Linked DNA regions of Astyanax mexicanus. The protein of the gene in region 2 interacts with the protein of the main gene of each other region in a pairwise test. Links are inferred from orthologs where the notes say so. Each region holds a gene or a part of one and is shown on either strand. Other genes may lie near its edges.

Region 1 (6,325 bases), on a different chromosome or scaffold from region 2:
ATTAGGAGAAATGTAGAAAGGGAATGGGAAGGCAGACTAGGGCAGCATAATATAATTTAGTGAAGTGAAGGTCTTGAATGAATTCATACAACCACTGAACCACAAATATGGCCTCATTCCTTCTGGATGTCTCATCTTTCTAGTACAGGTGTTCGATAAATTCAACTATATACATGAGTGTACATCCCGTTTGGAAACATAACTATAAACAAATAAATGCACTCCCTAAGGTAGTCAAATTAGTCTAGACCAAAATCTGAATGAAGGTTCACGTTTGTTACACTGCGTACTTTGGATCTAGTTGGTTTTGGTTTCACACTGCAGTTAATAAAGAACTTTCTTCCTGAATGTCCTACTGTCAACACCTAACTAGACAGAGTGTCTCTAACGCATCGGGTCATGAATCAGGTGTTAACATGCTGTCAAGTTCAGCGACTTGCCATTCCAGGTGCTGTGCCAAATTTTGCCTCTCTAGCAGTTCAGATAGCTTTTATGTAAATACATTAAATCAACCTACTGCATGGTTTTAGTTTTATTTTGAAATACAGTTTTATTTACAGCTAAGAATTTCTATTTTTGGTGTATTACCTAAAAATCCATCTAAAGCAAGTAAAGCAAAAATAAGTTTTGTCTGAAGCAAACCCATCTGGAGCTTGTTTGAGAAGAGGTCTCTTGGGTCAGTCATACAGTTGGGGCTTTGACATTAACTAGCTAAGTAGAGTCTGATTGGATGAAATGGGTGCCAACCAGACCTGAACAGATTCACTATTTCCAATACCAAAACAATTTCTTGTTACTAAAAGTCTTGATATATTTGATATGTCTCTCTTCTCTGTTACAATGCCTTTTTAGACTGTTTTGGCTGACACATTACTTATAACTTCTGTGTGAATGGAATGGATGAAAGAGCAGATAGTCTACACAGGCTATATTTTAGTACAGCCTGTTTTTGCAGATTAATATCCACGTGTTCATAGTGTATTCTGCACAACTGTATGTTCTGACCTTTTGGCAAATGTTATTTTAGAAAAGCTTCAGCAACATACAAGTAGGCCCTAAAACCAACTGCAGTGATTTTTACTGGGTGCACAGCATGCATCCAGACCAATCACTGTTCTAGAAGAGTGCTGTGGATATTTGAATGAATCACTCTCGTAGTATGTAAAACTGACATTTGTATATACTGTGCGCAGCTCTACCTCCAGATGTGTAACAGGGCATTCATGTCCTAGCCCTGTCTCTAATCCCTATGAGTAACCTTCTGCCCAAAAATAGTTTTTAAAGGCCACACAGAATTGCAGAGAGTAGCAAGTTCCTTCCTCTATAATCTAAGCAGTGAGGCTTACAGTGTGCAAGCAGTGCAAAAACAAACAAATCTGTGCTCTGACCTTCCAAAACACCAGTTGAAGACCTCTGGCCTTGCTGAAAAGCCACCACTCACCCATTCAGAGATGGAGCAACCACATACCTGTCCAAAGTAGATGTCGGAGGTCGAACACTCATGGCTGCACACCTTCCGAAGCTTGTCCACTCGTCTGTGTAGCGAAATATGGTTAATGTTCAGTCATCATCTCCTTGTGTGAAGGGTCTGTCTCAGCTCTTCTTTTTTTCCTGGGTTCATTCACAACTCCAGCACAACTCTCTCTCTCTGTCTCTCTGGAGCAGCAGTCAAAGTTTCATTTGGGACACTGGTTCAATGGTTCTATCTACTAGCTACCATTCATCTTCTCATTGCATAGAGGAGCCGTAAGGTCCATGCCTGGAGGAGAGCTGGGCAATCTCTTGTTTTTGAATTCAGTGGCTTTGACTAGATGTCCACTAGGTCAGTGTCATGAATCTTGTTCATTAATTTGCACTTATTATGGAGATGTCAACACACTTGGAACAAATTTGCCACAAAACAGAAAAACCACAGTTGTCTGGTCCTGACTTATAAAAGCACAATTGTGTTAAAATGTTTGCTGTGTGAAAAGAAAAGTAGCTACAGAAATTCTGGATAAATGTCACTTCGAGATAACCTACATAACCTAGCTTAGTTAGCTGGCTAGCTGGGGTCACTGCAGCTGCACAGACTTCCACACTAGCTAGCTACAAGCAAATATAGCTACAAAAATGTATATTTATTTATAATTATTACACAGTGATACGATATTTAATTAAAGTGCATCCACCAAACACACCTCCTTTAGTAAAAATCCAACTGTTAGATATAGATTACTGTGGGCTACAAAACAAGCTAGCTAGCTATGTGGCTAATAATATAGCTAGTTAGCTAAGCTGGCTGGCTAACCTAGCTAAGCTAAAGCAGCTAAATATCACTGCGTAGATATTTAGCTACTTATTTCTAAAAATAATAAATAAAAATTACCTTTAGTTAAATGTGTTAGCTAGCTGACCAATAAAATGCACACCACTCCACTCCACTGCACTGCTCAGTCGAATTGCTGCTGCTGTTGTTGTTTTCAGTGCAGCATTAGCTTAGCCTAGCCTAGCCTAGCAACAGAAATCTCCTCCAGTGTTCCAGGCCACACCGAATCCCCGCTCTCGCGTACACACGCCGTCCGCTCGAAACCGCTCCTCCATCGGCTTCACGGCGGTCCAAGAGGCGGCAGCGAGGCCCGTGCAAAATGATAGGTTTGATTAACGCTGGTCAGGAGCAGCTCTGCAGATATTCAGCTTAACGGGAACGGGATTGGATCCAGGACTCGCAGAAAGGGCATAAAACAAAACAGGACAGACTACAAGTCTTTATCAAGTGATACAATCGCTGGTATAGCAACTCTTCAGGCTCTGATAGCCAGCAAGCTTCTTCATCTGATCCTCCAGCTGCTCCATATCAGCTCAGATGCCATTGTCCTGCTCGCCCAGCTCCGCTCTGTCTGTCACCGGGGAACAGACCCTCTGCTCCGGCTCTGGGTCTCCAGACTCTGCTAGCTAGCTATGTGCCCTGGTGCTGCTGCTGCTGTGTTTTAGCAGAAGTGAGAACCCGGCGCTTTTGCTTGGTTGTTTGCTCTCTTGCTGGCTGGATATCGAAACCATTCCACCACAGCCAGCAGCACCACCATCAGCCGTGGGTTTGTGTTTGGTCAGTCTGTCTGCCTGCAGAGGCGAACACAAACCCGCTCAAGCTCTCCATCTACCGGCCACAACCGCTACACCTACCGGGGTACAGAAACTAGGACAATAACCCTGGTAGAATACTGTTTGGGACAGTATGACAATATTGTGAATTTTGACCCTCACAGTGGCGAGTCAGCGGGCAAAAATATTCAAAGAGTTGCCAAATTACTGTTTTAATACATCTTTCTCAGTATATAGGCTTGTGCTTTTATCAGAAACCTGTAAAGAACTTTTAAATAACTGTTTATTCGGCAGTGATAATTGTAAATTTCATAATTTATAGTTTCCTTAACTGAAATTCAAGCACCCTATGTTTTCACCATTTTTAACCCCTTCTATTGCGTTCATTTGCCAGGAACAGCAATGGTGTTCCAGTCCCAGGGTCAGTTTGACCCGGTGCATGTTGAATTATCCAAAATATACCTGAACCCCCCCAAAAATGCTTACATTTTTATTTACAGTGTATATATTTTTTATTAATTGCTAATTATTATATTAATATTGAGTGCAATGGTGTTCCTTACCTTTAACAGGTAATGCTTCAATTACTCAATAACTCATTTTTCATTAAAAAATACATGTTCAAACTTTATTACACTACTTTATTACTTTTAAAAGACCAACATATAAAACAATAGTTTTACAAAACATTAAAACATAACATTGCAATTTTGTTTTAGTTTTAGTTTTTTGCAGGGGGTGGTTGCAAGTATGTGAGATTAACCATTATCATGTTATATGTTGATTACACTAACTAAGACAAGCAGACGAAGTTTCATACTGAAAAAATACTCTTAACTATTTTTTCTAGATCTTTAAACTTTAAAACGGGTCAAATTGACCTGGAACACAACATGAGGTTAAATCAAAATTTCAAGGTATGGTTAAAGGGAACTGCTTATTATTTATTTAAACGATTATTTATTTTTATTAAATGTAAAGGAAACAGCTGTTTGTGCATCACTTTAAATGGTTTTACAAAATAAAAACTAGTTATAAAATAAAAAAGGTTTTATGTGAGAACCTTAATCATGACCACTAAAACATTTAAAGATCAAGACATTTTTTTTACAATATTTAAATATAAGTGTAAGTATTATTTCACCAGTCAACAGCATGTTCAAATACTTGAATGCAATTTTAGTTTATTAACTAAAAGTTATTAAAGCTTGCACAGTAAAATCTATTTAATTTAAAAATTATGTGCAATCATTTTTTTTAAGAATCCAAGGCTAAAAGTGTATGTTGCAAGTTGAACACAGTACAAAATATATGTAAATGTATATTTATAACTATATTTGTTTACTTGATTATTCTTTGAATTTTCTTGGAAATTATGTGCCTACACTTTGGTTTCATTTCGGTGGTCTTTTGCTTCTGAAATCTCATTTTTTTTTGTTTTTTTGCTTCTGTATATATCTGCCATTTTGATTGCAGATTTCATATTTCTGCCACAAAATTAATTCCATAAAAATCTCTTTACCAAATTAACATGTATTTTTATTGTACATAGATGAAATATGATTTTATACAATTTGTTTTTAAACTTTTTTGTTTTGCTTTTTTTTTTAAAATATTGTAAGTTTAAAACATCTCTCTTACATAAGCTGTCCCCTAGTTGGCTCCTCTAGTGTTTGGGAATCCCCTTGGAATCTGATCACTGCAATTGGGCAAAGGACAGATGAGTAACAGGACAGGGGCATTGCAGGGGGCCAATCAGATTTCAGCTGTGGCCCCGCCCCTACACAACAACACCGACATTTCTAATTCTTTTGGTCATTTGACATATTTGACATATATTTACCTAATCATTTTATAAAGTATAATTTTCACTTACATGCATTTGTCATGGTAAGCTGCACACCAGGGTGTAAACGAAAATCTACTTGGGTCAGTGTAACATCAGTTGAATTTTAAGCATTTTATTTTTACATTTTGGGTCTAAATTCTAAAATAGACAACTGGGTGCAAAACGTCAATGTTATTTTTTCCCCTATTTAATAAAGAAAAAATGGTTAATTTCCACTCCTCACTATCAGAATTTTAGCGAAAATAAAGCTGAATCTTTACTTGATTATTTACATTTCCATTTATGCATCCTAGATGAGTAGGTTGTATTTTACCATCAGACTGGGTGAGAAAAATCAAGATTATTCTTTTTATTTTTCCTGGAATTCTGTCCGTGAGAGTGAGAAGTGGAAAAGTAGAAAGATGTTTATTTATTTTCACATTAAGCCTCAAATTCAGAGAATTGAAGTTGCAGATTTTTTCATGGTGACCTTGTTCTGTATTAAATATACATTTGAATTTTAATTAGCATATTTAATCTCAACAGGGTGGACATGGTCAATGTTTATCAGATCAGTTTTCTGATTCTTTCAGACTGATTCTTTTTGTATCTCAAAATAATCACTTAGTATCTCAAAATAATGACTAAGTATCTCAAAATAATGAATTAGTATCTTAAAATAATGACTTAGTATCTCAAAGTAATAACTTAAGTATCTCAAAATATCGGGATAATATTTCAAAATAGCGACTTAGTATGTCAAAATAAGGACGTATTATTTCAAAATAACGATTTAGTACCTCAAAATACAAGGATAGTATTTCAAAATAACAAATCAGTATTTCAAAATAATGATTAGTATGTCAAAATAAGGACTTGGTATTTTAGAATAATTACTTTAATATCAAAATAAGGAATTAGTATCTCAAAATAGTGACTTTAAAATGACGACTTAGTATTTCAAGATAATTGATTTAGTAATTAGATAAAAATAATTATAACATCTCAAAATAATTAGATAGCAATTTACCTAATTATGAGGAAGTAATGTGTAATGGATTTTCTTATTATTTTAGTTGGTGGAAGTTGGCTCATCTCTGTGTTTAGATCAAGAGATCAGGTCAGAAAATGGATAAAAAAGAAGGATATGGGTCTTAAAAAATGTCATCCTATTTTTCTTGTAGAATCATTTTTCTGAATGGCTGTTAAATCTCTCCTGTGTGTGTATAATGTGTGTGTGCAGGCCTGGGTGGGTCTCAGTGATGTATATAGGCCTGTATTAGGTCCGGAAGGCTGAGGTATGAGCTCAGCTCAGCGCCTAATTTGGTAAGAGCTGGGCGGGGAGCTGAGGAAGGAAACATCTGGGAGCGCCCTGACTCTCAGACCTCGCCTCACAGACAGACCAGGAAAAGAGAA
Region 2 (6,325 bases):
TTGGTGTTTTACTCACCTCCAACTCACTCTGCAGTCAGCACAGACCGCATCAACTCCATCTTCCCTCGCCCATAGCTATATTTCACCTTCCTTTCATTTTGGGTCAGCTCAAATGACAGCACCAACAATGACAAGCAGCAAGCAGTTGTACCTCCATGCTAAATCTGCAGCTTTGTCCACAATTTGCCCTACTTGTGGAAAGAGGACAGTATCTTCCTAACACTTATCCAGCTAACATTAGTGTAACTAATGTTAATAATGTTAATGAAGGAGTGCAGCCGGTTTAAACTCTCCTCAGCAGCTCTTTGCAGTAATTTAACTCTTCACAGGTATAGAAGTCAGTGTTTAAACTGAACAGAACTAGATAAAACAGACTGTAGAGTATTGTGTGGAGTTATATGCGTTTATTTGTGTTTAATGAACACAGCAATGCTATTATTACACTGTATACTCGTCTTTCTCTCCCGCTCTCTCATGAGCTGCAAGTCCCACCCACGCTGAAACATTATTGGCCAGCTAAGCATGAGGAGAGGCCAATCAGGATGCTCAGGATTTGTCACTCTCTCACTATGGGTGTTTATTTCTCTTTCTCGTACGGTCGCGTACGGTACATTCTCTCGCTCTATCACACATTAACGACAGGTTTACAATAAAAAAAAAAACGCCTCAACTATTCTTTATAGTCAACATTGTCGATAACGCCGACTAATCGCTGCAGCCGTACACAACTCACACACACTCACTAACTAACACACCCCCACCATGCCAATCAGTGTCACTGCAGTGTAATTATACTGTACAAACAATGTACACTGATGAATATGGAAAACCCATAATCCATTTGCATTGTTTGGATTGGAGATTGGCGCTCAGCTTCTCTGAGGAAGTGCGTTGACTTCCAGTTTACGACGTTCCATTTATGCACCGCAATCTGCTGTCCTACAGCAATGATCTCACACACATACAGAGTCAGAAATCATTTATTACCTTTCCAAATTATGTTCCCGCTCTATATAACTGCGCTTTATATCAGCATCATTCAGTAACAAACTATGTTCCTTGTTTTGTAAATGATGCACAGAAAAGCGACGCCCACACCTCTTAATAAAATAAGGTGTAGCATTTTGGGTAACAACACCAACTTCCCCATGGCAGACTAGGGGTTTAATTCCCTGACTGAGCAAACACACCACTCTACATTACTTCTGCATTCCTTGTCAATGATTGACCGTATCCAATTATATCATCCTACATAATAGGACTGACTGTGACTCCTGACTGTAAGTGTGGACCAACCGATGCTAAGAGCTCTCAGAACTCAGCATGACCATCAAAAACCATATGATGAAACTGGCTCTCATCAGGAATACCCCAGGAAAGGGAGAGCAAGAGTTTTCTCTGTTGTACAGGATAAGAGTTACCAGCCTCAGAAACCGCACTTTTAAATGTTTTGCATTGTAGATTTATACTGGTTATCCAAACTACAAAGAAAAACATAAGTCTACCAGAATATTTTTTATGTTTGAGATTTTTCACAGTAGGCACCTCTTGCTTAGATGACAGCATTTTCTTAGTTTTCTCAGATTTATGAGTTAGAGCAACCTGAAATTTCAGGCTTACAGTTATCAGGCTTGCAGTCACCGCAAAGACCATTAAAATGTAATGATGAAACTGGCTCTCATCAGGAATACCGCAGGAAAGGAAGAGCTAGAGTTTCCTCTATTGCACAGGATAAGAGCACATAAATGCTTCACAGAGTATTTTTTAGGTTTGTTCAACACTTTTAAGTTCCTACTTGATTCCTTATGTTTTCCTTCATAGTCTGGATCACTTCAATATTCATTTACTATGCAGGAACAAAAAGAAGAACGTTGAATGAGAAGGTGTATACAAACTTTTGACTCTTTTGGTACTGTACATGATACACAAACACACACACACACACACGCACACACACCAAAACACTCATAAATCATGGTTATTTGTTTAAGTACCACTACTTCTAGTGATTTACTGTTAAATACTGCCCTGTTCCACTGCTGTTTTATTGTGCAGACTATGGAATAAACTGGGAAACACACTGACCTGATGCCACAACTCAACTTAACGTCAGAGGGAAATTAATATACTTGAATTAACTCACATTACTGAGATCATTTAACACTAATTAATCACAAACAAACACAATAAGGTTTCATTCCCCACTGTAAGAGTTAATCCAGCACTTAGTTATGACATGTGTCCTTTCTACCCCAGTGCTCTACTTTCATGACCCAGTCGGCTTTTGTGTGTGTGTGTGTGTGTGTGTGTGAGTGAACAGGCCGAACTCTCGAAACTTCAGAGAGTTCACAGTGAAGTCTTCACTTCATTACCACCCACAGCCCTCCACTGACCCCCGCAGTGTTCACTCCACTCATATAGCTCTGAAATCAAAGAACTGCTTCAGTCATAAAATGTGATTTACTCTTTTATCCTTACCACTGATTGGCTGAAACATGCCGTATGAAGTCCTATCACTTCTATGCAGTGGAGTTTACATTGGAGTACTACAATACTATACGACTCACTGGAGCATAAAAACATGAATTTAATGTAAGGCAAAAAAAGGTAAAAGCTCGAGTAGCATGAAGTTATCCAAAAGCAGTGTGTAAGACTGGTGGAGGAGAACATGATGCCAAGGTGCATGAAAACTGTAATTAAAAGCAGGAATATTCCACCAAATATTGATTTCTGAATAATGAACCTGTTTTCTTTGCATTTTTGAAGTCTGAACGCTCTGCATCTTTTTTGTTATTTCAGCCATTTCATATTTTCTGGTCTCTTAATTTTTTTCCAGAGCTGTATATATGGGGATAAATAAAGTTTGAACCACTCCATCTGATTCAGCTGTTTATATAAATTTTTGACAGTTCAGCTTTAATCGAGAACAAAACAAGAATTAATTTTTGTACAAGAATGCCTATTAGCTCACTGTTAATTAGATTTACTTTACTTAAATTAAATAATTAGACTTTACTGGGTACTGGAGTTGAGTGAGCAATGACAAAAAGTACCAGTCAAAAGTTTGGAGACACCTTAAATTCAGTGGTTTTTCATTGTTTTAAAATGTTCTGCACTGTAATACTAATGTCATTCAAACTATGAAGCAAAACACAACAAACAAAACCCACAAATTCGTACAGCTCTTCATGCTTTCCTCTGCTAACAACTTTTATGAAGATTTCATTTTCCAGCAGGACTTCTTGGCAAATTGCCCACACTGCCAACAGTACCAACTGGTCTTATATAATATTCTAATTTTTACGTTTTGAACTGAATTACTGAAATGAAGGAACTTTACAATGATTTTTTTTAGTAAACCTTGCTGTTATCAGCTGAGCACTGGAGGTTGGTGCAGGTGGACCGAGCGCCCTTCCTGAATCTCCCCGGACTGCGCGCACTGCTTCCCCGCTGCCTGCCTGTCTCTCTCACCGGCGCTGGTAAAAAACACCCGGAGCTACCGGGCATGAGGAGGAAAGAATGCGAGCTATTCACCCTCCTCTCCCGGCCGGCTCAGCTTACACACACCGCCGCAGGCTCCACCACACCACCCAGCCGGGGCACGAAGGGTCAACAGACTGCGTGACTTTTATTAACGTAAACCAAGATATATAGGTTAGATAAATATATATCTTATCTTAGTTTGGGTTTATAGATATTAAAGTTTCCAAATTAAATGCAACATATCGACAAAACAACTACAATAACCTTAAACAATGTTTCATAAACCTGTTTTTATAATAATAAACCGGTTAACATCTACTAAAACTAACTTTAAATTAGAATTTAATCATACCACCTTAAATAGAGCAGCATCCCATTGAAAGATACCGGCGCCTCCAGGCGACACAACGCAGCCGCTGCCCCATTTAAGGTGGAATTGTTAATTCGCAAAATTAGACTATTAAAACAACTTCAGTTTCGCCTCAAAAGCACAAAATATTAAGCCGTAAAGTGTCTCTTACCGTCCGCAGCCGATAAAATAGCTGTGTTCCCCGTCTGGATAAAAAAAAATACTGCCCGGTATATAGAGTCTGTCCAGGGTTCTGGAGTGTTTTATTCACGCGTTGAAGCAGCAGAAATGTGTCCGCTGGAGGGTCCTCCGCCCCCCGCTGCTGCCGCTGCTGCTGCCGCCGCTGGAGAGGAGCGACACGAAAACTTCTCCTAAAACGAAGGTGTGGAACCCACAATGCAACACGTGGAGTTGGGTGGGAAAAAATTAACCAAATAAATAATAAAAACACGCTGGTTCAGTGTGAAGATGCGGCTGGGTGCACGCGCGTGGCTTCAGCGCCTCCCATTGGTCCAAGTGGAAGCGTGCTATCTGAATGAAGAATGATAATTTATTACCTCATTCAGCTCTGTAAAAAAAATCAAAATATTATAATTTAGAGCATTTATTTGCAGAAAATTTGAGAAATGGCTGAAATTACAAAAAAGATGCAGAACTTTCAGAGAACAAGTTCATATTCATAAAGTTTTACGAGTTCAGAAATCAATATTTGGAATGCTTTCATGCATCTTGACATGTTCTCCTCCACCAGTCTTACACACTGCTTTTGGATAACTTTATGCCTTTACTCAAGCAGTTCAGCTTGGTTTGATGGCTTGTGATCATCCATCTTTCTGTTGATTATATTCCAGAGGTTTTCAATTTGGTAAAATCAAAGAAAAACATCTTTATTAATTGGTCTATTTCTTTTTTTGCATACATACACCATTATAGGATAAAAGTAAATTATCCTCTGCTGCACTGTACAAAGTATATTTTAAGTATAGTTGAGTATATCTGAAGTAATGAAATACAAATCTGCCCAACACTTTAAATCAATTATGTTACAAACCTTTGACGAATAGTCCACCTCCATTAATGTCTTAGACTGTGGGTTGCAGATTACATTGTGGATATTTGATACTTTAATATATGGTAGATACATCATATTAGAATAAGTAATCGTAATTAGAATGAGTAATTAGTAAGTAATTATTCAGAGAAAACCCAAAGCACTGTACCACTTCTCTGGTAATGCTCTGTCAGGCTTTTACCACAGCTGTAAATCTGTTTATCTGTCTATAAGACATTGTTCCAGATCTGTGCAGGGTTTTAGGTGTTAGTGAATCTCCTATCTGGTCTTCCTGTGCTTGAGGTTCACCACTGCTTGCATCCTGTGGTAGATGTATGCATGTTCTTAGGGGAAGTCTTCTGTAAATAGTTGATTTTGACTCAGATTCACCTACAGCTTCTTGATGTGGCTGTCTGAGTGATAGAAAGGGTTTTTTCTAAACAAAGGAAACAGTTCTGACAGCTTTCCCCACAGTTCATTTCCATGGTCTTATGGTACTTTTGCATTTCTTAGTTCACTGGTGTTTTTTATTTGCTAGATTTGGCCACATCTTATGTTTTCTGCATCTTTCAAGATGGGTTTCTTTTACATTTTCAGGCAAAAAAAAAATGGTTTTGCCAGCAGTGATGGCTTTTTGAATTTCACATTTAAAAATGAGGGTGCCCTCGTGTCTGTGCTACCATCTGGCAGTTTTCCTTTTAGTTAGGTTTTTATAGGCAGATCTGTTGGAGTTGTTCTGATTATCAGATAGTCTGTTCACATTCTCTGTTCTCCATAATTCCAAACAGAACGTTATGTTTACATTTTTCGAAAGTAAGGACCTGTATGGGCTGATATTGTACAAGAGAGTTAACTCTTCCTCTTCCGGTCCTGATGAGTGCCAGTTTCATCATACCATTTTTAATCGTCTTTGCAGACGCACTTGAGGATAATTTCAAAATTTGTAAACTTTTTCGGCCTTCATTTCTTAAGTTTTATTAATTAGTGTTAATTACTGTATACCAACTCTACCTCTTAAAAAACTGATGCTCTCAAACACTCTTGAGTTCAGCACAGCTGTTAACTGAAGGCCATTACCTCTGAAGGCCATGACTTCCAGGCAAGAAATTTCAAGATGTGCAAAGCTGTCATCTAAGTAAGAGATGCTACTTTAAAGATTTAGAAAATTAAGCTTGTTAAAAAGAATTTATCCTGCTTTTGTTGGAATAACCGTCTCTACTAGAGTTTGGAGAAGAAGCATTGCTATAAGCATTTGATTACTTTCAGCGACATAAGCATAAGTGAGGTCAGTATGTTGGAAAATCATCACCCTGCTTTATCCAAAACTCATCCTAAAAGTTTTGGATGGAGCTCCATTGTTCCAGAGAACATAGACTTACTGCTAAACAGATAAATGCTGTGGGAGCTTTATACCTCTTTACCTGGCGTTAGACACTGTGCCA

Evidence for each region.
Region 1: the proteins of plxnb3 (region 2) and arhgef11 interact in a two-hybrid assay, tested with the Homo sapiens proteins (2 studies listed by BioGRID and IntAct). The link is inferred for Astyanax mexicanus from reciprocal best matches to the Homo sapiens genes PLXNB3 and ARHGEF11.

Annotation. Positions count from the first base shown.
Region 1 is NC_064415.1:12,357,746-12,364,070, reverse strand, and holds the start of arhgef11 (rho guanine nucleotide exchange factor 11), read right to left. Parts: upstream 3,106-6,325; 5' UTR 1,504-3,105; coding exon 1,469-1,503; intron 1-1,468. UniProt on the Homo sapiens protein: May play a role in the regulation of RhoA GTPase by guanine nucleotide-binding alpha-12 (GNA12) and alpha-13 (GNA13). Acts as guanine nucleotide exchange factor (GEF) for RhoA GTPase and may act as GTPase-activating protein (GAP) for GNA12 and GNA13.
Region 2 is NC_064419.1:4,448,174-4,454,498, reverse strand, and holds the start of plxnb3 (plexin-B3), read right to left. Parts: upstream 4,216-6,325; 5' UTR 4,005-4,215; intron 1-4,004. UniProt on the Homo sapiens protein: Receptor for SEMA5A that plays a role in axon guidance, invasive growth and cell migration. Stimulates neurite outgrowth and mediates Ca(2+)/Mg(2+)-dependent cell aggregation.